4 linked regions of the Schizosaccharomyces pombe genome follow. The protein of the gene in region 1 binds, or shares a complex with, the protein of each later gene. Each region holds a gene or a part of one and is shown in the gene's direction. Other genes may lie near its edges. The genes, in order: snr1, rsm23, rsm24 and bot1.

What was found.
Region 2: snr1 (region 1) and rsm23 share a complex: the UniProt entries of both Schizosaccharomyces pombe proteins name them as parts of the mitochondrial small ribosomal subunit.
Region 3: snr1 (region 1) and rsm24 share a complex: the UniProt entries of both Schizosaccharomyces pombe proteins name them as parts of the mitochondrial small ribosomal subunit.
Region 4: snr1 (region 1) and bot1 share a complex: the UniProt entries of both Schizosaccharomyces pombe proteins name them as parts of the mitochondrial small ribosomal subunit.

Annotation. Positions count from the first base shown.
Region 1 is NC_003423.3:2,978,298-2,984,429, forward strand, and holds snr1 (mitochondrial 37S ribosomal protein mS47 ), read left to right. Parts: upstream 1-2,704; 5' UTR 2,705-2,764; coding exon 2,765-4,054; 3' UTR 4,055-4,143; downstream 4,144-6,132. Other genes in the region: MBF transcription factor activator Rep1, read left to right, coding at 1-287; mmp1 (endopeptidase catalytic subunit), read right to left, coding at 609-827, 875-1,001, 1,045-1,172; yml6 (mitochondrial 54S ribosomal protein uL4m), read right to left, coding at 1,364-2,149; fib1 (fibrillarin, rRNA and histone methyltransferase), read right to left, coding at 4,467-5,384. UniProt on the Schizosaccharomyces pombe protein: Component of the mitochondrial ribosome (mitoribosome), a dedicated translation machinery responsible for the synthesis of mitochondrial genome-encoded proteins, including at least some of the essential transmembrane subunits of the mitochondrial respiratory chain.
Region 2 is NC_003423.3:2,064,944-2,071,538, reverse strand, and holds rsm23 (mitochondrial 37S ribosomal protein mS29), read left to right. Parts: upstream 1-3,548; 5' UTR 3,549-3,600; coding exon 3,601-5,031; 3' UTR 5,032-5,352; downstream 5,353-6,595. Other genes in the region: gef3 (RhoGEF for Cdc42/Rho3/Rho4 (Gef3)), read right to left, coding at 1-191, 248-1,153; ribosome biogenesis protein Rrs1, read right to left, coding at 2,646-3,146; telomerase reverse transcriptase 1 protein Trt1, read left to right, coding at 5,429-5,686, 5,743-5,823, 5,895-6,013, 6,065-6,327, 6,364-6,595. UniProt on the Schizosaccharomyces pombe protein: Component of the mitochondrial ribosome (mitoribosome), a dedicated translation machinery responsible for the synthesis of mitochondrial genome-encoded proteins, including at least some of the essential transmembrane subunits of the mitochondrial respiratory chain.
Region 3 is NC_003424.3:560,878-566,681, forward strand, and holds rsm24 (mitochondrial 37S ribosomal protein mS35), read left to right. Parts: upstream 1-3,048; 5' UTR 3,049-3,292; coding exon 3,293-3,587; intron 3,588-3,596; exon of another isoform or gene 3,597-3,675; coding exon 3,676-4,157; 3' UTR 4,158-4,196; downstream 4,197-5,804. Other genes in the region: exosome subunit Rrp4, read right to left, coding at 101-1,090; phospholipase D Pld1, read right to left, coding at 4,291-5,804. UniProt on the Schizosaccharomyces pombe protein: Component of the mitochondrial ribosome (mitoribosome), a dedicated translation machinery responsible for the synthesis of mitochondrial genome-encoded proteins, including at least some of the essential transmembrane subunits of the mitochondrial respiratory chain.
Region 4 is NC_003423.3:2,230,230-2,236,343, reverse strand, and holds bot1 (mitochondrial ribosomal protein subunit S45), read left to right. Parts: upstream 1-3,221; 5' UTR 3,222-3,232; coding exon 3,233-4,180; 3' UTR 4,181-4,561; coding exon of another isoform or gene 4,562-4,738; 3' UTR 4,739-4,801; downstream 4,802-6,114. Other genes in the region: SAGA complex subunit Spt8, read left to right, coding at 634-688, 736-2,261; SPOM_SPBC14C8.15 (triglyceride lipase-cholesterol esterase), read right to left, coding at 4,562-4,738, 4,802-5,855, 5,911-6,027, 6,082-6,114. UniProt on the Schizosaccharomyces pombe protein: Component of the mitochondrial ribosome (mitoribosome), a dedicated translation machinery responsible for the synthesis of mitochondrial genome-encoded proteins, including at least some of the essential transmembrane subunits of the mitochondrial respiratory chain.

The DNA of each region.
Region 1 (6,132 bases):
AAGGTAAAAGGCAATATGACACATCAACATCAAAAGCAGAGCTCTCTACTCCCCCATCAAAACGAAGGCATATTGATGATGCCGATTTAGTTTTTCACAGTAGTCCCTTACTGTCACGCTCGCGATTCATTTGTTGCTACTGCACGAAGCCTTTCCTTTCAATTAGTAAACTTCAGGAACATGAGTCCTCGTGTTCACATGTTGAGCGACTCTTTGGGTTTGCCCCAAATCGTCTTTATGATGATGGTGATGGATTTTTGGGTTCGAGTTTTTGCAGTGATTGGTAAGATTATAGCATGTTTCGCTGCATCTATTTGATTGTCCAGCAGCTGAGATTGCTACGATTTATTCTTTATTTAAAACACATTTATTTCATGCTTTATTACTTATCATTAATCTTGTACTTTAATTTAATTTTTCATAGTTATTAATCTTTAATTAGTGTTTATGAGGCGATCTTTGAAGTCTCTCTTTTGTTTTTAGAATTAGCATTTTTTTCAAACAAGTAATTGCCAACTAACATAAAAATATTAATAAATTCATACATTTCAATTAACATCTGGTGAGCCAAGAGTGAGTTGTAGAATAATATTTAATGCTCATAATACCTATTCCACATCTATGTCATTCAAAATGTTAGACATCCAGTGGGGATGTGGCCATACACGAGCTATAACTTTAGCCTTAATAAGGCCCATTGGAACAGGTCCGTAATTTCGACTATCAAGTGAGTGAGCAATGTTATCTCCTGCAAGCCAAACATGACCTAAAGGTATAGTTATTTTTTTATTTGAAGAGGTGGGATCGACATAAATTGTATCTCCTGGCTATAAAATTAGTACAAAAAGGATAACGTTCCATGTGAAATACTCACCATTCCAATGATTCGTTTGCACACGTGTTGCTTTGAATCGGAAGGTTTTGCCGAAACAACAACATCTCCTACAGAACATGAACGAGCAAACCTACCATGCAATTTATCTAACAAAACGAATTCACCACTTTTTAAGTTAGAACCATAAATACAAAGCGTTATTTCAATACCCAGAATTTAATGTTGGCATCATACTTGGACCCGATGTCATTTGCACTTGAAAAAGATACTCATGAATTTGATGCACAAATGCAGCAATCTGAACGACGGCAATAGGAATACGGAACATGCCAGCCATTGTTAACCAAGAGGTAACTAATCAAGACAGTAAACTAAATAAGCCGAAATTAAAAAATTTAAACACGACAAGAGAAAGGATTGAAAAAAGAATTAATGATTGTGGATTATAATGTTTCCGTAACTACCAAAATCGGAAAATGTAGATTCATGAAATTCAAAAACAATTGAAAGATATGCGTTTATTTCATATCATAGAGATAAAGACGGTTCAGGTTTTGATTTCGTAAAAGAACTACTATTTGCATCAACATAAGCAGTCAGGGAAGCAGGTTGATCCATATCACTTAGTGTATTTCGTTGAGCAAACTTCTCTACAATTAACGACATGGCTTCAGAATCAATAAATAGTTTACCGAATTTTAGTGCATCTCGAACCTGAAACTCACCAACAGGAATAAAGGAGCAATGGTAGCCTAACTGTCTAGATGCAAGCAATAAATTATTATTTTTAAGGGACTCATCTTCAAAGTAATTATCGTTAAGGACAAAAAGTGCCTTCCCGTACTCGTGTCCTAACTTGTGTTGCTTCAAAACTTCAAGCAAAATCCGTGTTTTTGGTTGACTTAAGTTGATGGGATTTTCAAGGATGGTCAGTTCATTATTAATAAATCTTGTACTTAGCGCAATCCTCATTGCTAAATTATAAACTTGGGTTTGTAATTTTGTACTGAAATCTCTAGGCTTAGGACCATGTGATTTAGCACCACCTCTTCTTATAGGACTTGAGGCATCGCCTACCCGTGCATGTCCTGTACCTTTTTGTCGATAAAGTTTTCGACCGGAACAAGTAATTTCATTTCGGCGCTTTGAGCTAGCAGTGCCTTGACGGTCATTATCTGCTTCATAAATAACGGCACGATGCAAAATATCTCGACGAAATCTTTCTTGCAGGAAACTTCCGGGAATAAGAAAAAGACTCGCGGGCTCCAACGACGGAAATTTATATCGCACCAAGTGCAACATTTTTGCTGTCATTCTGATTAGTTTGTGAAATGGACGACTAGTACCTGAAGAATGGATGTATTTTACTTTCAATTAGTCTAACACAATGTACTAAGTATCACAATGCATTTCATTATAACATATTGTGCATTCAAAAGTATCGTAAAGCGTAAAGTATCGAGTTCATTAAATTACGTTGTTTTATGCAACAGGAACTTTATGACTGTATACTGTTAGATAAATTAATGATATCTCATTCATTACCTAAAATAGAAGAAATAATTATTTATACTATGTGATGTCGTACATTAAATATTTGGAATTTGCTCATTCTGACACCTTAAATTGTTGTTGCAAATAGCACCTGTGTATTACAATAACAGTTTTGAGTACTCAATGCTATGCAACAAGTGGTTTAAGACTTTTAAAATCGACAAACCCTGAGAAACTAAATTAATACTAAATATAGATTTTTTGAGACAAGTATTTGCCCAGCTAATGCATGGAAACCTACTTTGTTTTACGAATGGTCTTTTGTGATTTGTTATTAGTTCACAATTAAGAACACACTTCGTTATAAAGTAACGTAGAAGAGACGTTAACCGTCTATGCAAAAATAATCGGTGTTATTTAACTTGGTTAGCTTTCATGGGATTGAAATTAAATATCTCTAACGATTTGAAAAAATCTGGATTTATGTTAAGGCAATCCTTACTTAAAACAAGTGTGTCAAATTTCCTTTCTTTGAATGCAAGTAGCACCATGTCTAGAGCGTTTATTCGAAATCCAAAATTTTATAGCACTTCCTCAAATGATACAGTTTTATACGAGAGTAAAAATGGAGCAAGGATATTTACTTTAAACAGGCCAAAAGTATTGAACGCTATCAACGTTGACATGATAGATTCAATCCTACCAAAGCTAGTTTCATTAGAAGAATCAAATCTGGCCAAGGTAATTATTCTTAAAGGAAATGGTCGCTCTTTTAGTTCGGGAGGTGACATTAAAGCTGCAGCACTTTCAATACAAGATGGAAAATTACCTGAAGTTCGCCATGCATTTGCTCAAGAGTATCGATTAAGCCATACGTTAGCTACATACCAGAAACCAGTTGTGGCTTTGATGAATGGCATCACCATGGGAGGTGGATCTGGTTTGGCTATGCATGTTCCTTTCCGTATTGCGTGTGAAGATACGATGTTTGCTATGCCAGAAACCGGAATTGGCTATTTTACTGACGTGGCTGCCAGTTTCTTCTTCAGTAGACTACCAGGATACTTTGGAACTTATCTGGGATTGACATCTCAAATCGTAAAAGGATATGATTGCCTGCGTACTGGAATTGCAACTCATTTCGTTCCGAAGCATATGTTTCCTCATTTGGAGGACAGGCTTGCAGAGTTAAACACGTCTGATATTTCTAAAATCAATAATACAATCCTGGAATTTGCCGAATTTGCTAGCAGTTCACCACCCACTTTTACTCCAGACGTTATGGATGTCATTAATAAATGCTTCTGCAAAAATGATACCGTTGATATTATTCGTGCGTTAAAAGAATATGCTTCAAACACTAGTGCTTTAGCGGAATTTGCAAAATCTACCGTTAAAACATTGTATAGCAAATCTCCGACTTCAATTGCTGTTACCAATCGACTTATTAAGTCTGCTGCTAAGTGGAGTATATCTGAAGCATTTTACTATGATCATATCGTTTCCTATTATATGCTTAAACAGCCTGATTTTGTTGAAGGTGTTAATGCTCAACTTATTACAAAGACCAAAAATCCAAAATGGAGCAAATCCCATGAATATCACTTTAAAGATTTAGAAAACTATTTCAAGTTGCCTTCAGAATACAATAATGGGATATCTTTTGCTGCAAAAGGAAGACGTAAAACTCCCCTTTGGAATTATAAGACTTATCCTTATTTATAATCCCAAAGGTTACATAAATTAAATATTGTTCTTTATGTCTACTAAGTTTTTTCAGTATTATAATAAGATGATTTATTTCAAAGACCCTGTTATGTTTTAGCATGCGATAAAGCACATAACTCTTTTTAGCAGCTAAAAATAATGATAGCCATTTTAAATACTCATACTAAAACTCTTTTTCGGTAGCTGTGCGTACGATAGTTCAAAAAAAAGAATGCTAACGGCATTAATATATATTCCATAATTCCCATATTGGATCAAACAATGAGAAAATAATTGACAAAACTGCCAAACGCATACCCAAAATATATTTTTATTATTCCAATTGCTCACGGCCTTACCATAAGCTTTTCTAGCAAAAAAAATTATATGATAAACTAAAAAAGCATGCACTTATGGCATATATTTCTGTTTACTGATGTCTCAAGTATTTTCCTACGATGATACAGTGATCACGTTCGTAAGGCTCTAAAGTAAGTTGTTCTTGAGGTTTAATCTTTTCCTCTTGCATTTTCTTAACCTCACGAGCAAAAACAACAGCTGCATCAGCGGTAGAATCAATACAAGAAGCCTTAACAGAGATAACAACTCCACCTTCGTTTTTCAAAAAGGCGGCGGCGTTCAAAGCAACGATACGAGCCTGATCGGGTTGAGCAACGTCTGCAAAAACAACGTCAACCATTCCGACTAACATACGATACTTTTGAACATGGCGAGCATCCTCAACAATGGGGATGACATTCGTGCGCTTTTTAGCCATGTTAAGAAGATCACGTCCAGAACGATGAGAAAACTCAACAGCGTAGACAAGACCCTCAGGACCAACAACATCAGCAACGTGAGAAACGGATGTACCGTTAGCAGCACCAAGATATAAAACACGTGCACCAGGTTTAATATAGATGTTGTCTAAACCGCCCAAAATACCTGCGGCAAGTTTAGAACGGAAAGGATTCCATACACGGTATTCAACTTTGGTACCATCTGGGGAATCAACGCTAATACGTTTTTCATTGTATACTGATTCACCAGGCACCAGATTGCGGGTGACAAGCAAATCTTCTTTTCCGCGAGCAATGAAGACACCTGCATGACGATGAGGCTCAATAATAACTTTAGCACCTCCTTTGGCTCCACCACGGCCACCGCTAGAACCACCGCGGCCTCCTCTGGCACCTCCACGACCGCCACGACCGCCACGAGCACCACCGCGTCCTCCTCCTCTGGCACCTCCACGGCCACCGCCGAAACCACCACGGCCACCATTGAAACCACCACGGCCTCCTCTAGAGCCACCTCGTCCACCTCTTGAACCTGGTGTATATGCCATTATTTTTTTTTGTGGTAGGTAATGGGTCTGTAAAATTTTTAGGATAGCAGAGAGGATTACAGTTGGTGTGACTACGAACACAATTCTGCAACGCTAAAAATTTTTACGAGTTCGAAACAATCTGTAAAACCTCTAGTTAACGAAGGTAAACAACGCTAAAGCTAACTTAATGACATTAGTAGCATCGCAGTGTTATTATTTGCAGCTCATAACTTCTCATTAGTAAGGTAAACATATGTAGCAAAAGATGGGTTCCTGCTGTTTGAAAAGCAATTGTTTTAGGTCTCAGCAACAAATTAGAGGTATTCAATATAATTCTTTTGAAAGATTGGTGAAGAGAATGAATAGACATCTCTACTTGTGTTCATATAATAATTACGTTTTGACAATCGAAGTAACTAAACTTAGAGTTACAAGAGGTAGTGATTTATTGTCAGAACCGTTATTAGTTGTAGTTCTTCCAACCTAGTACTAGTTCTTATACCTTATCATATAAACTCGGTGTGAGCTAACAATGCACTTAAAGATTGTTAATTAATGTACGAACAGATCTAGCTTTGACGTATAAAATAAATAGAAAAAGCTATTGCAGATAGTTATAGTAATAGCCGCTTACTTTTTGCTGGCTGTCCGCATTATCATTTTAGAAAAGCAAATGCTAATAAATAACACCACAGCTTCAAATAATGCGCGTACTAACCTAATACTAGCTATTAAAAAAGGAACCATGTAAGTAGAATATACTCAC
Region 2 (6,595 bases), 910 kb from region 1:
TCTTTACAAAACACAGAATAGGCTTCGACGAAGGTAAAGAATTTTAGGTAATGATATCTGGAGAATTTTAACCAATCACAGATAGCACTTCGTAAATTTAAAAGATTGGTATAGGATGAAGACAGTTGATGGACAAACGCTAGAATGGGCTCATGTTCAGGTACGTAGAAAATGTTTGTAGAATTTTGAAGCTAAAAAACAATTAGTCGAAAAATTTAAAGATAGAAAATCATTGAACCCGACGTACCTTTGCAATTTTCTTGTCAATTGAATCTGTGGAGAGAAGTAAGACCTCTTGGGAATTCGAGACGCTATCCAGGGCTGTAATTATAATATCTCGTCTCCTTTTTAACTCATTCATTCTTTGGCTAGCGATCTCAGATTTGTGACAAGCTTCCCCGAGCAACACATAGTCGGAAATGATACCCAGTGAAGCAGATCGGTAAAGCTGATTTAGTAAAAGCGGATACTTCAGAAAACGCTGCACAGGCTTTACTAAAAAACTATCTAAATTCCAAGAGTTACTTTCAATTTTTGCCATGCTATCACATTCCTGCAAATATTCTGAGATTGATGAGTTCTTCATCCATTTTTCCACCTTTTTGCCAATGTTTTCTTGAATCACGCAGTATCGACCATAGACAGCAGATAGCTTGGGCAACCATGAAAGAAATAGTTGTGCAACGGAAGGCTTAGGCTTCAAACAGGCATCTTGATCATCCAAAATGTAATTGATTTCGTCGTTCAAGGATTTGTGCATTTCGATTTCGAAAAGTGATGCTTGCTTGCACAATACCAGAAAAATCTCAAACACATCTTTCCATTCGCTTTTTTTTACTCGGTCCGATAATCGGTCAGCATAGTACCGTTGAGCTACATGCAGATCATGAACGTAAGCGGCTTCTGAATCACGAAATTCCTCCAGAACAGAAATAATGGCTTTTTGTTTACTCCTCATAGCAATCGTCGATTCTGTGGTAGTGCTACAACTAGTTCTTGTCGACCTTGTTTCAGTTTCATGTTGACTTAACGCTATGGTCCAGTCAGGCCGTAATTTCAAAGTATCTTCTAAAGTGTGTGTCGAATTGGCTATAGGCAAGCTATCTGAAACAACTCTTTTTCCACGGCTTTGGAACATCCTTGGGTTACTCATCTTTAATCGGCTGTTGATTCAATGAGTTATCTACTCAAACGCGGGCACTTAGGAGTTCGTAGCGCGTTTGATTAGATCTCACAAAGCTAAAACAGAGTAGCAAGGCCGTTGATGAGTCGATTTCTTCTTTAAATACAATGCTAATTTAATCCAAAGAGTAACGCTTTTATCAATGAAATAGTTGAATAGCTGTTTTCTTTGTTGTTGCGGACGGCAAGAATAACCAGGTTACCTTAGTGGATATAGGAAAGAATTCCGCTTTTGAAAGAATGACTACAATGATATTGTACTTTATCAACATAAGCAAAGTTATTTGTACATAAATTATTTTCTTTTCTTATTTTTTAAAACTAACTAGTGGTCTTTGGGGATGCATTAAGTATTTGCTTAAAATATCGAACGTAAACAATACTTAGAAAATTAATGATATACACCATAAAATCGACGAAGTAGCCAACCGAGAAACAAATGATAATATTGGTAAGCTTTTTTTTGGATTAATGAGTTTTTCTTTAATTTTTTTTCTATTTATTTGCATTTTTTAAATTTTTTTTATTATTACTACTAAAAGCATCAATCTCATATCAAAATTAATTATTATGTTAAATATTTAAATAAACAAGTCAGTATTAGAAAACTTATTATACACTCGGTTTAAAAATGATTAGAAATTGAAGTATGGCTTGCACATTTATTTATATAATCTACTAAAAATTTATGTTTACCACTCAAAAGGATATGTTTTGATTGAGTATATCATTCATAGAAAATGCAAAAACCAATTTTAGAACATAAACAATTATATTTTTAAAAATTCACAGCTATATTTGCATCAGCCGGGAGTCGAACCCGGAGCTAGAGCATGGGAAGCTCCAATGTTACCGCTACACCACTAATGCATTCAGATATTTAGACTGATGTTGCAATCTATATAGTAATTTAGAAAGGATTGTTATTGTTGAGTCTGATGAAATTCTGTTTGTTGAACATTTCAAAAATGTTGCATATCAGTTAGCCATGAGTTGGGCTCTTAATATGATGTTCCAGCCTTTTAAGACTGCATACAGAAAATAATAATTAACTACGATATGGTCGCATTTTAACTGTATGAAACTTTTTTTACAAGAGGTTATTAGAAAATTCAATTGGAGGAAATCCCACAGTGTATCAAAACAGTTGCTGTTAAAACTTACTTTACACTTAACTCGTAAACATTCAACATTTTAACGTTCGATTTTCGAGTAGCAGCTTCAAAAAAGTGCTCGTTAATTTTTAACACATAAAAATGTGTAAACAAAGCAGCCACATAACCGATGTCTTACATATTCCTTCTGTACCCGTTGATATCCCAATTGAAGAAGGGATTTTAGTTGTAGCAAACAAAAACAAACGATAATAACAAAATAAAAATGATATTATACCACTTAACCCATGAATAGCTAAATTATAGTAAATTTTTAAATTAAGAAAAATTTTTTTTAAGCAGGACCAATTAATGGCGACGAGAGCGCTTGATTTTTTTTGAGGTATTTCTCACTTGCTTGGAAGTAAGCTTCTTTTCCTTTTCTCCCTCTTCAACAAGCCATTGTGTCTCTAATTCCTTATTTTTACCCTTATAACCCCATTTTGGTACCCATTCACCAGATGCTTCATCAAACACCAACCTGCCTTCCCGCTTCTTAGGAGCAATACCTTTAATACGAGCAAACCGTTGCCATTTGGTTTCGGGCTTGGGTTTAGGTAAAGGTTTAGCACGAGGAAGAGGTGTAACAGTTTCAGGAAGCTGTAAAAGGACGCCATCTGATGTACGCTCCTTAGGCAAGGAAATCATTTTGTTCACCAATTGTTGAACGTTATCTCTACTGAGAGAAAAAAGGAATGATTCTTTCTCTGAACCGCTAAGCTTAGTTTCATCTAAGGGAGAAATATCAAATGCAGCCATATTTCCCAAATCGAAATCTAGAGGAATGGAGTTTTCTATTTGTGCAGACATGATTAACGAAATAGGGACAAGGAAAAAAAAAGGGTTGATAATACAATTAAGTGACAAAAAGTTCTCAAAAAAGACTGCAAAATTGATTTGTTAAAAAGTTGGTTCAGGATACGAAATTCTTCTTTCAAACTCCAAAATTTTTATCAAACTACTGAATATATAAGAGAAAAAGCTCTCTTTCAGTTCAGCAATCTACTGTTTTTACTTTCTTTATGACAAACGAAGAAAGTAAGAAAACTTTTACGATTCTTTAGTTTTTGCAAAAGTAGAGACACTTATTAGCAATACGTTAGTTCTCTTTATTACTGAACGCCAAATCTACCCTATTAAAAAATATTAGCAATGCGCTAAGAGCTCAGTAAATACTTACCATCCGGAAGCAGTCAGTCTCTTCATTTACGTGAGAACAGATATGTATACTTAAGATTTACGAGAAAAAAATACCTCTAACAAAATGCTACCGAAGTTTAGAAGCAGAAGTAGTATTATTAAGAATACAGAGAGAATTTCTAATATCCTGTCCGGTGGAAAACTGACTGTTTGCGGTAGTAAACTGGGAGGACTCTACACTTTTGAAAAATGCACATTTAACAAATACTATTCATCCTCACAATACCAGCATACGGGTAGACCTGTTGGAGGAAATATACATTCAAGCTCTAACCAGCAGCGTCAAAAAAATTCGGAAGCGCCAAGAATTAATGAAATTCCCCCCTCAACTTCGTCAGTAGAGAAATCGACGACTATTCCCAATAGTAGCGTTGTATTGGATCATCTCTTAAATGAAGGAGAAAATACTTTAGAAGAGGTGAAGCCCTCTGAAATTCATCCGCATATGTCTTGGTCCAGCAAGTCTGAAGGTAAGATGTTTAAAATCCCCGAGGAATTGCTTAATAAACTTAATGGATTTGGGGCTTTAGAAAAACAAAAAAAAAGTTTCTCCTTTTTTACCAGTGCTTCCCTTTTGCACAGGAAAATTACAACTGAATTAGTGAATGTACTGCAGCGCTCCAAAGACCAGGGTACGAAGGACGGACGTTTTCTTCTTGATGGTGCTCCAGGTTCAGGAAGAAGTATTGCTCTCATACAAGCTGAACTTTTCGCCTTATCACAACCTAATTTTATAGTCTTGCCAGTCCATAACTGCGAAGGATGGGTAAATTCAACGAGTAGTTATGGTTATGATGAGCAACTCAAGTTGTGGGTGCAACCAGATTTAATTAAGGGATTTCTAACTTCTGTTATGAAAACTAATTCTGATAAACTTAAGAAGCTAAAGACCTTTGAAAGTCATGAGTTGCTTCAGAACGAATGCATTCCTGCTGGTACCGATTTACTTTCCTTTCTTCATAAGCTAATTGCTTCCTCGAACGCTCCTAAATCTCTGGAAATATTTTTACAAGAACTCAATAACAATACCAAGTCAAATTCCAATATGAAGGTGTTATTAGTGATCGATAATATTTCTATTTTATCGGTCGTTACCAAGTATAAGGACAAAAAGAACAACTTCCTTCCCCCTAAAGACTTTTACTTTATTAATTTACTTTTCAAATATATTTCGGGTTCGCTTACTTTTAATCGTGGTACTGTTTTAGCTGCTACTTCTAGCCAACCGCGTGTTTCTACCCCGTCATTGGATATAGCTCTTGGAGTAGCTCACAGAAATCCTTACAAATCTTCTGATGAGACTATATTAGATTCATTACAGTCCGTGCATATTCTTAACATGGAGCCTTACACTTTAGATGAGTCACGTCGCATGATGGAGTATTTGGTATCATCCAACGTTTGCCTTGAAAAGGTTGATAATTATTTGCAAAATCATGTCCTTAGTGGTGGTAATCCGCGAAAGTTTTTTGATGCTTGCACACGTCTAGCATGATTGAGATATTCAAAAATTTCTATCCACTACAACTCCTTTAACGCGGTTTTATTTTTCTATTTTCTATTCTCATGTTGTTCCAAATATGTATCATCTCGTATTAGGCTTTTTTCCGTTTTACTCCTGGAATCGTACCTTTTTCACTATTCCCCCTAATGAATAATCTAAATTAGTTTCGCTTATAATTGATAGTAGTAGAAAGATTGGTGATTCTACTCGTGTAATGTTATTAGTTTAAAGATACTTTGCAAAACATTTATTAGCTATCATTATATAAAAAAAATCCTATAATTATAAATATTAATCAATATTTGCGGTCACTATTTATTTAAAACGTTATGATCAGTAGGACACTTTGCATATATATAGTTATGCTTAATGGTTACTTGTAACTTGCATGACCGAACACCATACCCCCAAAAGCAGGATTCTTCGCTTTCTAGAGAATCAATATGTATACCTATGTACCTTAAATGATTATGTACAACTTGTTTTGAGAGGGTCGCCGGCAAGCTCGTATAGCAATATATGCGAACGCTTGAGAAGCGATGTACAAACGTCCTTTTCTATTTTTCTTCATTCGACTGTAGTCGGCTTCGACAGTAAGCCAGATGAAGGTGTTCAATTTTCTTCTCCAAAATGCTCACAGTCAGAGGTATATATATTTTTGTTTTGATTTTTTTCTATTCGGGATAGCTAATATATGGGCAGCTAATAGCGAATGTTGTAAAACAGATGTTCGATGAAAGTTTTGAGCGTCGAAGGAATCTACTGATGAAAGGGTTTTCCATGGTAAGGTATTCTAATTGTGAAATATTTACCTGCAATTACTGTTTCAAAGAGATTGTATTTAACCGATAAAGAATCATGAAGATTTTCGAGCCATGCATGTAAACGGAGTACAAAATGATCTCGTTTCTACTTTTCCTAATTACCTTATATCTATACTTGAGTCAAAAAATTGGCAACTTTTGTTAGAAATGTAAATACCGGTTAAGATGTTGCGCACTTTGAACAAGACTGACAAGTATAGTATCGGCAGTGATGCCATGCATTACTTATTATCCAAAGGAAGTATTTTTGAGGCTCTTCCAAATGACAATTACCTTCAGATTTCTGGCATACCACTTTTTAAAAATAATGTGTTTGAGGAAACTGTGTCAAAAAAAAGAAAGCGAACCATTGAAACATCCATTACTCAAAATAAAAGCGCCCGCAAAGAAGTTTCCTGGAATAGCATTTCAATTAGTAGGTTTAGCATTTTTTACAGGTCATCCTATAAGAAGTTTAAGCAAGGTAACTAATACTGTTATCCTTCATAACTAATTTTAGATCTATATTTTAACTTACACTCTATTTGTGATCGGAACACAGTACACATGTGGCTTCAATGGATTTTTCCAAGGCAATTTGGACTTATAAACGCATTTCAAGTGAAGCAATTGCACAAAGTGATTCCACTGGTATCACAGAGTACAGTTGTGCCCAAACGTCTCCTAAAGGTATACCCTTTAATTGAACAAACAGCAAAGCGACTCCATCGTATTTCTCTATCAAAAGTTTA
Region 3 (5,804 bases), on another chromosome or scaffold:
CTATCATAAACAACTTTTGCAAACTCACAATTCTATTTTTATATATAAACCCATGTCCAGCACAAGTGTTGTTTTTTAGAGACAGAAAAGCTTTTCAAAGTCACTGCATTGCTTCCATTGCTATCTGATCCATATTTTTAGGAACAGTCAAATCTTGAAGGTTTGAGAAAACAAGAGATGATTCATAAAAATTGGTGATTGAGGCTTGAGTCAGAGGGAGAGAGCGACTAGCCAACCCTTTAATGCAAATGGATACACGAGATATATTTAATCTGGTATACCCATCAATCTCATCGTTTTCGTTAGAATATATGGATTCTGAGGCTTCCTCCTCCAATCTGGTAATACTCACTGACGAATGTTGATTTTCATTATGTTTAGAAACCCATACATATCCATTTACACTAAGAATAATGTCGACTCCACCTGCTAGAGCATAAGCATGTGATTTTGATCGAACGACCAACGCAGGAGGAACCTTAAGAAAAACACCATTTCTGAGTTTTCCATATTTTAAAGAACGTGTATGAATTGATACAGAACCATCGGAAAAGTACTGTTGAACTTCCGCAACTAAGAGATCGCCTTCTTGGAAAAAGCTACGCATCTGAAGCTCATCAGTCTCTAGTTTTCGTCTTTGAATGCCACCAGGAAGATTAATAGAAGAGAGCATAAGCACAGCATTCTGTTTGGCACCAATATCCACTTTCCAGCGTTTTGGTTGGACTTCAGCAATTTTCCCAATGATTAAATCACCAATTTCGGGAACGTACTTAGAACGAAGAGGTTTCACGGATATCAATTTATTGACCCTTTGTACAGATCCCGCAACAGATGCATATATTCCTCCATCCTCGAAATACGTTCCATGACCGCGCATAAATTGAGGATCATCAGTCACTAGTTGTCCGGGTGTAACTAAATTTTGATGTATCGATTTATCAAATTCCTCTAAAACGTCTTCTCCGTCTACAAGACCCATCTGTTCATCCTCCATTATTTCATCCTCCATTTCAGTCATGGAAACATCGTTTACGATGTCAGCTTCACTAGAAACATAGAATTCTTCAGGTTTTAAAATTGTAACCATTTTTAAGTATTTCGTTTGAATTCGACAAAAGAAGATACTGGGACAAACCACGACTTAGAATTCTTAGAAACTACAAAACTAATAACTACCCTTTCCACAAATCAAGATTAGTCGGGTTATGTTGGATAATTAGCTATAGCCACTAAATTTAAACCAAATCTGGTCTCCTGTAATGCTTTTACACTAGTGTTTATGCAAAAGTGAAATTTACACTGATTCATAAAGCTAAAGAATTTTAAACCGCTAAAGTAACGCGTTGCTCCTCGTAAAATATCTAAAGGTAAAATGATGATGGGTTAGTAAATTTGAAATATTCGATGGATTAAATAAGAAGCTGGGGAAAAATTATGCAAAAACTATTAATAAGAAGAAAGAATTGTCATTAAAATCAAATTGTATACATTAGTCAACCTTGGTCAGAAGAGGTCTGATGAAAGCTATGAATCAACGAAGAAAAAATGGAAATAATGCTTTATTCTTCAATAATTATCAATATTCAAACTTAATAAACGGCTAAGTTTACAAATTATAAAGCCATTAACACTTTCAACACTTTTTTAAATTTTATTTTATCAGGGCAGATTTACGATACTTCATGAATTGTTAATAGTCAATTAATTTCAACAAAATTTTTAATTAATTATTTTAAATTATCCATGTCAATTCCATCACAATGTCAAGCCAAATTGTATTAAAGCAATATTGCAATGGAATAAATTAATAAAATATCGTTGTCTGAAGATTTCTGTAATAGGTTATTTATTCAATTATTTTATAATTTTTTTTTTTTTTTTTTTTTTTTTACAAATGACTCATGTAAACATTAACAGTCTAATATTACTGTCTACAGATTGTTATATGCATTGACTTCCATTCGTGTTGAGTACTCTAAAATACTCAGCTCCTTAACATTTTTGCAAAGAACAAGTTATGTGGGTCAAGGTATTTAGTTTTTACTTAACTTAAAAGTAATACAATACAAACATTGTAAACATCACGGTTAAAGAACCCAATTAAGCACTATTTCACGTTCATAATAATATAGTTAAATAAAAAATACAGATTTTTTAAATCAAGTTCAATAAAAGATTATTTCGTAAAAAATTTTTTATTTTACTTTGATAGGCTTGAATTAACACATACAGGGAATAATAATGACTAGACGCTGAGCAGATGACTTGCCATCACTCTGTTTACCCCATTTTCTTAAAAACATTGCGTCTTTTTCTTATATTTAAATCATTCTTAAATGGAGTTTCCTGTTTTCTCATGAAACTTACAATTGAATCGAACTTCTTTTAATTATTTACTAAATAGCGCTAGTAATGAAAGTGCAATATTATCTAGCTGCGCATTGTAGTATCTTGTTTGACTTCTGTGAGTTTTCATTGTGATCGGTAATATCATATTATATATAGGTGTGATGTGGGTAGCAATTTGTTGTAAGTATTTATACATGGGTTACGTTGTTACCTGCCATTAATTAACATATAAACGAACCTGTTTCTGTTCAGATGTACTCTGTTTATAATCTTTTGGAGTAAACATGATCAAACACAAACAAGTACTCAAAAGAATAGTTATCAGCAATTATTAGTAAACGAATCTTAAATCTATCCTAACAGATGACATATAGTGATACGCAGCGTAACGTAGTGTAGTCTTGCTTACGAAAATCAAAATATAAGGATAACTAACACACTTTTTAAACAGCGAATGCCAAAAAAGGATGGGAAGCAAGTGCTATTAAATTCCTAAGAAAAAAAAAAGCTTGAAAGTATTATTAGGTGTTTTTATTCAATAGATGTTATAAATGCAATTGAGTAGAATCGATGCTATTTTACGTTACTAACCTTCATTCCAGTCTATTATGTGGTTTTTACTGGTTCTAACTACTAAGATTTAGTGTGTTATAATTATATACAACGAAGTCAAGTCAAGGACAACAATGTTTATACATTCTTCACTATCCCCTTCAAGTACCTTTTTGTAGCTTATTTAATTGTTTTGAGCATTTGGATTGTTAAATTTTAGAAAAAAAGTTTTTGTTAGATTCAGATTTCCATTTATAACGGCCACTCTTTTCGTTTCAAAGAAAATATAAAATCCGGTATCATACACTACTGCGCATTCGTTAAATGTGGTTTATTTTTTTTTATAATACAAATATTACATATATTTAGTGTTTTGGGTGGTTATAAAATGGCTTTTAATCCCCTTTTATCTTTATTGAAAGCAGATGCCATATTCCTCGGGCAACTTTCCAAATCAAGCTTTTGTGCTACTAGTAGAGCTTTCTCTGTTTTCTATTTTACAAGATTTAAGCGAAGTGCTTATGTGTCAGCGCCTTTTGGAATCGAGCCTCATGACGAGAAGGAATTGAAAACAATTGATGATAACGTCCATTCCAATAATCTATCATGGCAGAAAATACAAGAGCACGAGGTCATACGTGAATTGTATAGGAAAGCTGCTTATGAGCTTCCTGGACTTACGCGTAAGTTTACTGGGTAGTTTTACCTTAGGAATTCTATTTCACAATCACTTTAATATGCTTAATGTTCCATTTTCTCTGACAATTATAGCTTACACACAGTCTTTTAAAAAGCCTGCTGATAGCCAGATCTTTAGGTTTGAATCTGATGTCCAAATGTCTTCGTTTGAGAAAATGAATCCGAAGGTCGTTGTTACATTTAAAGTTACGAATATTCCTTTGCTAGAGGAGAAACAACGACATGTATTACGATTATTGGTTGGACCAAGATATAATCCGGAGGAGGATTTAGTCAGAATATCTTCCGACAAGTATTCTTCTGCACTACAAAATAAATATCATCTTATAAAGATATTAACTTCGCTCATTGAAGAATCGAAGAGAAATGCTGAAAAATTTTCACATGTCCCATTGAATACTGGCCATTGGAAATACAAGAAGTGTGATAAACGGATGCCACAGGAATGGCTCGCAGACGCAACTACACTCACTTCTAAAAAGAAAACAACGATTGGCAAGCAATCACATAATACAGTACTTGAACGAGAATCGATAGCAACTACAGATGAATAATATGAAAGGAAAGTTTGTTTAAGTTACTATTAAAATTAACGAGTCTATAATGTAAGCTAATATTGAAGGAATTAATCCTTCTCATTACTATATTAAGATGAAATAAAACTGTAGTATAAAAGGTACTGTTTCTCTAATCATAAATTTCTAACGGAGGGATTTTGTCAATACTACTGAGCCAATTTCTTGCGTTTGATTCGGTAGACATCCATTTTAATGGAAGTTCTACCAACTGTCCCCGAATGCCACGTAGTAAGTCGTAAACTACACGTTTGTCAGGAACTTGTAAACCATTATTAGTACGGGTTTTTGGTTTCTCTGTCTTCGAATCTTCACTTGCACTCGTGTTACCACTACCTTGGGAACCAGCCTTTGGATTTTTTGGATCATTCTCTGACTTTTCATGAGTTTCGTGTAGATTTGACAACTCCTCCTGACGCCAGCGGGCTTGCTCTTCTTTAAAGCGTTTTCCATATTTTTTCCACTCATTATATGATTCCCACGTTAGCATCTCGTCATCCGGTACACATCGAAATATGTGCCGATAAATAGTAGTATTGTTTGAAGCCACTTTAGACCATATGTCTTCAAAAAATTCATCGCAGACGGGGTCCTCAAAGCTTGAAGCGTCAAATTTAGGAATTGTTTCTCCACTAATAGGATTCACCTCAAGCAATGGTATATCATCATAAAACACAAGTCCATTTCCACAGTGTGGACGACTGGGTTCAGGCACTAGATGATCAGGGTCTTTAAGTACCATTGGACGTTGATCCTCCCCACATTGAGAGAACTTGGAAAGTTCATATAATGAGTCCTCCTTTGTTTTCAGTGATAAGGGGATGCCGCCTACTAGGGCGTTGGCTATAACATCAGGCCCTTTTTTAGACTTCTCGTAGTTCTTTTCAAACTCGACCTTGTCCTTTTGAGTTTTAATATTGAATTCAATCGAAGAAGGAATTAAACTGACACGTTGATCTAGTTTCTTCATACTCTTTTCAGCTTTTCGTAAGATGTCTGGAGTAGTGGTAAATTGACTCTGAGAACGATATTTCATTTTCAACTCTTCAGCAGTGTAAGCAGAACCATTAATGGCATTGCCTTCATCAGGAGTCCAGACTTCTACACGTTTCCACTCTGTATCGCGATCCAAGCCATCCATGTTGTATTCTCGTTGTTCAAGCACATCGGTCTCTAAACCTAAGTGCTCCCTCATAAGTCGTTTCCGAAGAGTGTGTGCAAATTTTCCAACTTTATAGGGCTTACCGTCCATCTTGGAGTCAATGGTTAGAGTATCTCTAATTACCGCAGCAATTTCAGAATCGCGGTTACCAAGCAAAGAACGTTCATTAATGTTTGCGGAACCAATGACCGCAACTCGATCGTCTGCAATAAGAATTTTAGCATGAACATAGATCATTTCAGTCACAAGTTCATGGTTTTCTCCCAAATGGGCCCAACCGCGCAAACCATAAAAACGCAAGTACTTGCTGCCATCAATACCCTTGGCATTTAACCTTCCAAATATTGAATGTTCACCATGGCAAATGCTGCGATATTGACATTCCACAATCAACCTAAGACTACCGCCCTCTTGTAAATCTATCTGACCTTCAAAACCGGGAAGCAACGGAATCATTATAACAC
Region 4 (6,114 bases), 750 kb from region 1:
TATATAAACTTAAAGCCTTTTAATTTTAATTATATTTTACGGTCAATTTCAATATTTCTTTAGTTAAAAGTTACTAAATTTTTGACTGCTTGCAAGCCCCAGAGGTTATAAGTTTAATAGATCACTTACAAGTTTGTTAAAACACATATTCTAATACTTGATTTTTCAACATACCTGCCATAAGTATCAATCTTTTTGTTGTTTCTTAGTACGGGCGACGTGAAACCATAAAAGTAGTATACTGGGTGCTACGGCGAATAACAGAAATATGTTTCCAAAGAGAAAGTGCTTCCTATTTTTTCTATGAAAGTAGATTGATTATAAAAAACAAAGTTTACCTTGTCAAACTTCCCCATTCATTTACCTAATGTTCATTGCGGAATAGTGTTTTCTCTCGCTACTTATTTATCTTAAACGAAATAAGGATCGTTTAGTTGTACTCTAATGGTAACATTCAGTGAAACTTAAGACTTTATTAAAGCTTTTTATTGAGGTATAGCGTCTACGCTAAATATATTCAACGGTCTTAAACTTATAATTCCTTTTAATATCTCAGAGGGAACGTAAACAAAACATATTGTTGCTGCATTGCAGCATTTTAAGGTTACAACTCTTTTTGTGTATATTTTAAAGATGGAAGCAGAAGAGAGTGAGTCCTTTTCATATCCAATGTTGCTACCTTCTGACGGTTCGTTTTATAAACGAGATATCACTTCTTACTGACTTCAAATCTAGGACTTTATCCAGAAGACGATGATGATGCGGATATGGATCAGGATAAAAATCCTGAAGAAAATGTAATGAACGAAAAAGAAGATGAGGATGTAGACGCGGTTGATGAGAAGTCCGGTGAAGAAGACGTGGAGATGGATACAATGGAAGATGAAAACGAAAACGATGAAGATACTGAGCAAACCTCTGAAAAGAAGGAAACTGAAGAAACACCAAAGGAAAATCCACTTGAGAAATTAAAACAAAAGGCTTCAACGGCCAGCTTTTATGATGTGGTGCCTACCCTGGCAATCCCTATGGCTACCAGCATAAACGCATTTGCTTTCACATCGGATTTAAAATGGCTTTTCACTGGTGGGGAAGACGGATATATAAGGAAGTATGATTTTTTTCCTAGCATTAATGGTGATCTCTCCCTGACTGTTGCACAGAGACATCCCTTTGTGGATACAGTAACGAAGGCTGGAATATTACTCAACTACTGGGAGAATGCTTACGATGGAAATAAACCATCTTCGGTATATAGCCTTGCAGCTCATTCCAGAGGTCTTTGGGTTCTTTCGGGCGTCAATAATGGAGATATTATACTGTACTCTACAAGACATCAAGAGGGTTATCCCGTTACTTCTTTAAAAAAGCATACGGCTCCTGTTTCGTGTTTAGCATTACATGGTTCCGAGAAAAAAGTATTGAGTGGAAGCTGGGACAAAATGGTTTATTACTGGGACCTTAACACTGGTGATGCAATATCTACATACAATTGTGAGAGTGGTCAAATTTCGAATATAGTTTATCGTCCATCAGGCGCTGTAAATCCTTGGGGTTCTGAATCGGACGACATGCGTAGTTTGTTCGGTACACCTGCGTCTTCCTCTTCTTACGATGCACTGTTTGATGAAGAGGTGGAAAAAGCCATTGAAGAAGAAACTAAATCTGTTCAAGCAAATGAGGAGAACGAGACAGAAAAACCCTCTCAAACCGAATCTACTACTAACAATGACAACATAAAAGCTCCTTCCGAATCTTCATCCGAAGAGTCCAATATTTTCTTAACGACGTCTATAGATGGAGTTATGAATGTATGGGACCATCGCATGGTCGATTCTGTTCTCAAATACCCCGTCCCCAAGGGTGTACCACCATGGGCTATGTCTGCATGTTGGAGTCCGGATGGAAATAATATATATATTGGCCGCCGAAATGGAATCGTCGAAGAATATAACATTCACTCTGGCAAGGAGCCTGTTCGCTCTTTAAAAATGCCTCTCGATTCGGGTCCTGTTTCAAATGTCTATTCGATGCCGAATGGCCGTCACCTTGTAATTTCCTCCTTTGATAATATCCGCCTTTATGATCTTCAAAGCAAGGCCGGCATAGGGTTCTTAATTATTCCAGGTCATCATGGAGGTCTTGTCAGTTCGCTTTATGTAGACACTTCTTGTCAATTCATGTTTTCAGCTAGTGGAAATCGAGGATGGCAAGGAACTACTACTGAAGTGTTCCTCGGATACCAAATAATGACTTCATAAAATGCTTTCTCTAAAACACATATTCGCAATAATGTACATTATGATAATAGACTGAAAGGAAGTGGGTTACGATTTAGTCGGTCAAATACAAAATGGTCTTTGAAAGGCACTTTGGATTTTGCCTTAGTAGGGTCAATTATATGCCTATTGTCGTTTAACTTTAAAAATCTTTTTGAATTGTCTCCCTTTCAACATTTGAAATAAACATCTCAGTTAAAGTTTTTAGAATAATTGTTAAGCCCATGCACTCTTCATTAGTTGATTGCTTTTTGGGTTTTTGGTTACTCTCTAAATAATTTGAGGTAAGTTTATAAATGTTTCCTTAAACCTATTTCCCCTTTTTTGCCGAATATAATAAACTTAGGTATTAAGCTGAGATTGTTGGTTATGAACTTTCTGACAAATATGATACACAAATCGTTTTGTTTGTATAACATGTATTCTAAAACTTTCCTCTACTTTAATTTTCAATTTGGAATTTCCTAATCAATTTAATGCCATCCATCCGCTTTATTATTTGTTGATGTGTCAATTGCCAAACAAAAATATCAAGGACATGCGAAACTCTTGTCTAAAGAAGCAATGACCGTATTTAATGAATTTTTTTCGTTTGATTCTGTAGAAATTATGACTTAAATTGTGTATTTATTTTTTAAGTATTGATGTGTATAACTGTTCGTATCCTAATATTGGAACTGACTCTCAAACATTCTATAGAATAAACAAAATCTTACTTTATTGCATACTGAGAGTTATTGTCTCATAAATAAATCAAGCGTCTGTATGTTAATCGGATCTTATAATGGAGCTAGATTGCTTGACCGCCGGAGGTTAAATTTGAGTTTTCCTAAATCGTCTCATTAATTATTGGTTTTTTGAAGTTTATTTTCTATATCTATCTTGATGAATAGAATTAGGGCGTGTTACTAACTTTTGGGGAGTGACACAAGAAACCTTTCCAACGCACCTAAATGAGGAATTCAGTGGAATTCTCACAGTTAGGGCTTAAAACGGCTTTTAATTTATCTCAAAATAAAACTTATACCTCAGCAGTCAAGAAACAATTCTTTAGTACTGGAGCATTTTTAAGCAATGGGGGAAATATTGATTTAAATAAACACACTCAAAAGAACATTGATTCAAAGTACGTTGCTTGCAACTCAAGATCTGTAACACCCCCAAATGATGTTGCTTCTTCAGTTTCTAAGAATACACTTCGTCATAAACAACGTTTAATGATGGCTCAATGGTTAATGTCTCCCGAAGTACAGAAAGCAAAGTCCTCATCATCTGGTAATGTAGGCTTGGGACCTAATACAAATCAGCCCTTCCCTTTAAACCCTTTTTTTAAGCCTCCTAGGCCTATATCTCATTCTTTGCGTATGAAAATTACCGATGAATACTTGCAGGGTGCAAGTATAGAAGTGCTTGCTCGAAAATTCAACACATCTCCACAAAGGATTGAAGCTCTTATAAAGTTGAGAAGAATAAATGATGAATTCGAAGAAAAAAAGAAGCCGATTCTTCATAGTTATAATGAAGTTATGGAGAAAATGCTGAACGCATGTACTAAACCTGAGATGATGCAGTTTAATGACGGAAACGATATTCCTTTGCGTTCCAATCCAGTATCCCTTTGGAAGAGTTTGCCTGAGGGAGAAACGTTTACACCTCAAGAGGCTGCTAAAATCCTGAAGTGGCCTTCGATTGAGGAATTAAACATGAGACAAAACGCTACTCACTTCCACAAAACATCTGATGAGCACAAAGATTTGAATGAAGATGAAGAGCTAATTTCTTCAAGCCCCAGCGAAGTTGGGAAGCGTGTTTTTAGGCTCATTGATCTTTCTACTGGTAATGTGTATAGAAGGGATACCGGCGGGGATATTTATGTTAAGAGAAAAAAATCTACTACCTGAAAATCAAGCATTTATTTCCCGTTTTTGAAAGAAAATTTACCCCCTTAGCATGCATTAGCGGCAGTACAATCCATTTCAAACTTTTGCGAAATAAAATCTTGAATTGTTACAAATTCACTCAGCAAATTCTTCTAGTTGTTGCATTATCTAAAAGTTATTTGTACATATAAAAATTGCATAGTTTTTTTTGCTTTCGTTGCCATATTGACTTTTTCAAATTAAACAAAGAAACTTTTTTTAGCCGTTTAATACAAATACTGATAAGAAGGGTTGCACATACGATGAAACAGTCTATACAACACTGTGCTTCAGTTTGATTTAGAACAGAAACTTATCTAACATATTAAATATACATTGTGCCAGTTTCAGAAGCGATGAACACTATATTGTATGGTTCATAACGCCGTCAACCAATTCTGTGTCAAGTCCAAATTCTTCTTTTATGCTTTCAAAGTAATCTCCAGCAATGACATGATTTAGTTGTTCTACGACTTGCTGAATTACTATGTCCTTTTTCGTATCTCCCATGATGATGTCGAGATGCTCATAGTTAGGAATCTTTAATTTTAACTTGTTAGTTTCCACTTAAGTAAATGAAGCTACAACTGTTTCAGAACATACCTGAATGCATTGAGATAATGGTGGAAGTTGGGTCTTGAGTGTTTCAATGTCCACCATGTTATCGTTACTGCCATAAACTAAAGTAATAGGTAGACGTATATTTTCAATCGGATAGCGAGCAATTCGGTTAAGATTTGTATAGTAACTTGGCTTAAATCCTGGACTGTCATCGTACATTTGTAATACTTTGCGACGCGTAATTTGAGCCCAATGTACAAAGCATTTGACAGAAGTAAAGGAATATAGATGGGAGTATGCAACGATTTTCTGAGTTTCGGAAATATTTTTTCCGGTCCAGCTCAGAAAAAAGCGAAGAAACAGATCAACAATTTTTGCAAAAACTGGCGGATATAAAACTGCTTGCCAAAACACAGCAGAACCAAGCATGGAATTTCGACCGAACATTAGGTAAAGAAGTTGGCTATTAGCGTGAATAATAGATTTAACGGTTCTACCACTATACTTTTTAGGAGCAATTGCAGGAGCTAGAGCAATAAATGCTCGTACGGAATTGCGAAGTTCAGTATCAATAGACAGCGCTGCAAATGCTAATATAGCGCCCTGAGAAAATCCAACAAGGCTTATAGAATCAAAACTGTTAACGGACAGTATATATTTAACAATGGAAGGTATGTCAAAAATAGCGATACTATCAAGACTGAAATCCCAAAACTTTGGATTTTGAGAGCTGAATTTGATATTCTTTATACTATATTTGTTTCCTCGTAAGTTTCCAAGCCAAACATCGTATCCTTGTTCCACAAGAGCAAATGGAATGGCATCTTCCTTTTTCAAGTTGCAGACCCAACTTTCAGAGTTCATCATTAGCCCATGAATAAATAATACAGGTGGGAGATAATTTAACTCTTCAATTTTTCCTTTTTTCTTTTTATACACCCGATGCAAGCCAAGCAAGTAGCCATCAGTTGTACGAACAAAGTGTTCTTCCAGATCATACCCATGAAGTGCACATAAATCGATGGTATCTCTTGCATCAGTTAATTTATTCGCGTTATCATCTACCAACAATTCAGGCAAAAAGTACGAGTATACTCTGCAAACCCCGAGGTTAGTATCAGTGACAATGGTATAAGTAATAGCTGACTCACTTTTTTGATTGCTCATAAAACCAATTCCGAAGTGGACTAGGTAAAATAACTGTACATATTCGAAACATGCTCTCCAACGCAATCAGTAAAAAACTGATTAAAATTTCCCCCTTTTCTCTAAAAACAAATGTTAGAATTTTCGTAAAATAGCAAATACAGAGAGCAACTAACAAGCAATATTTCATTATATTTCCATTCAGAGTC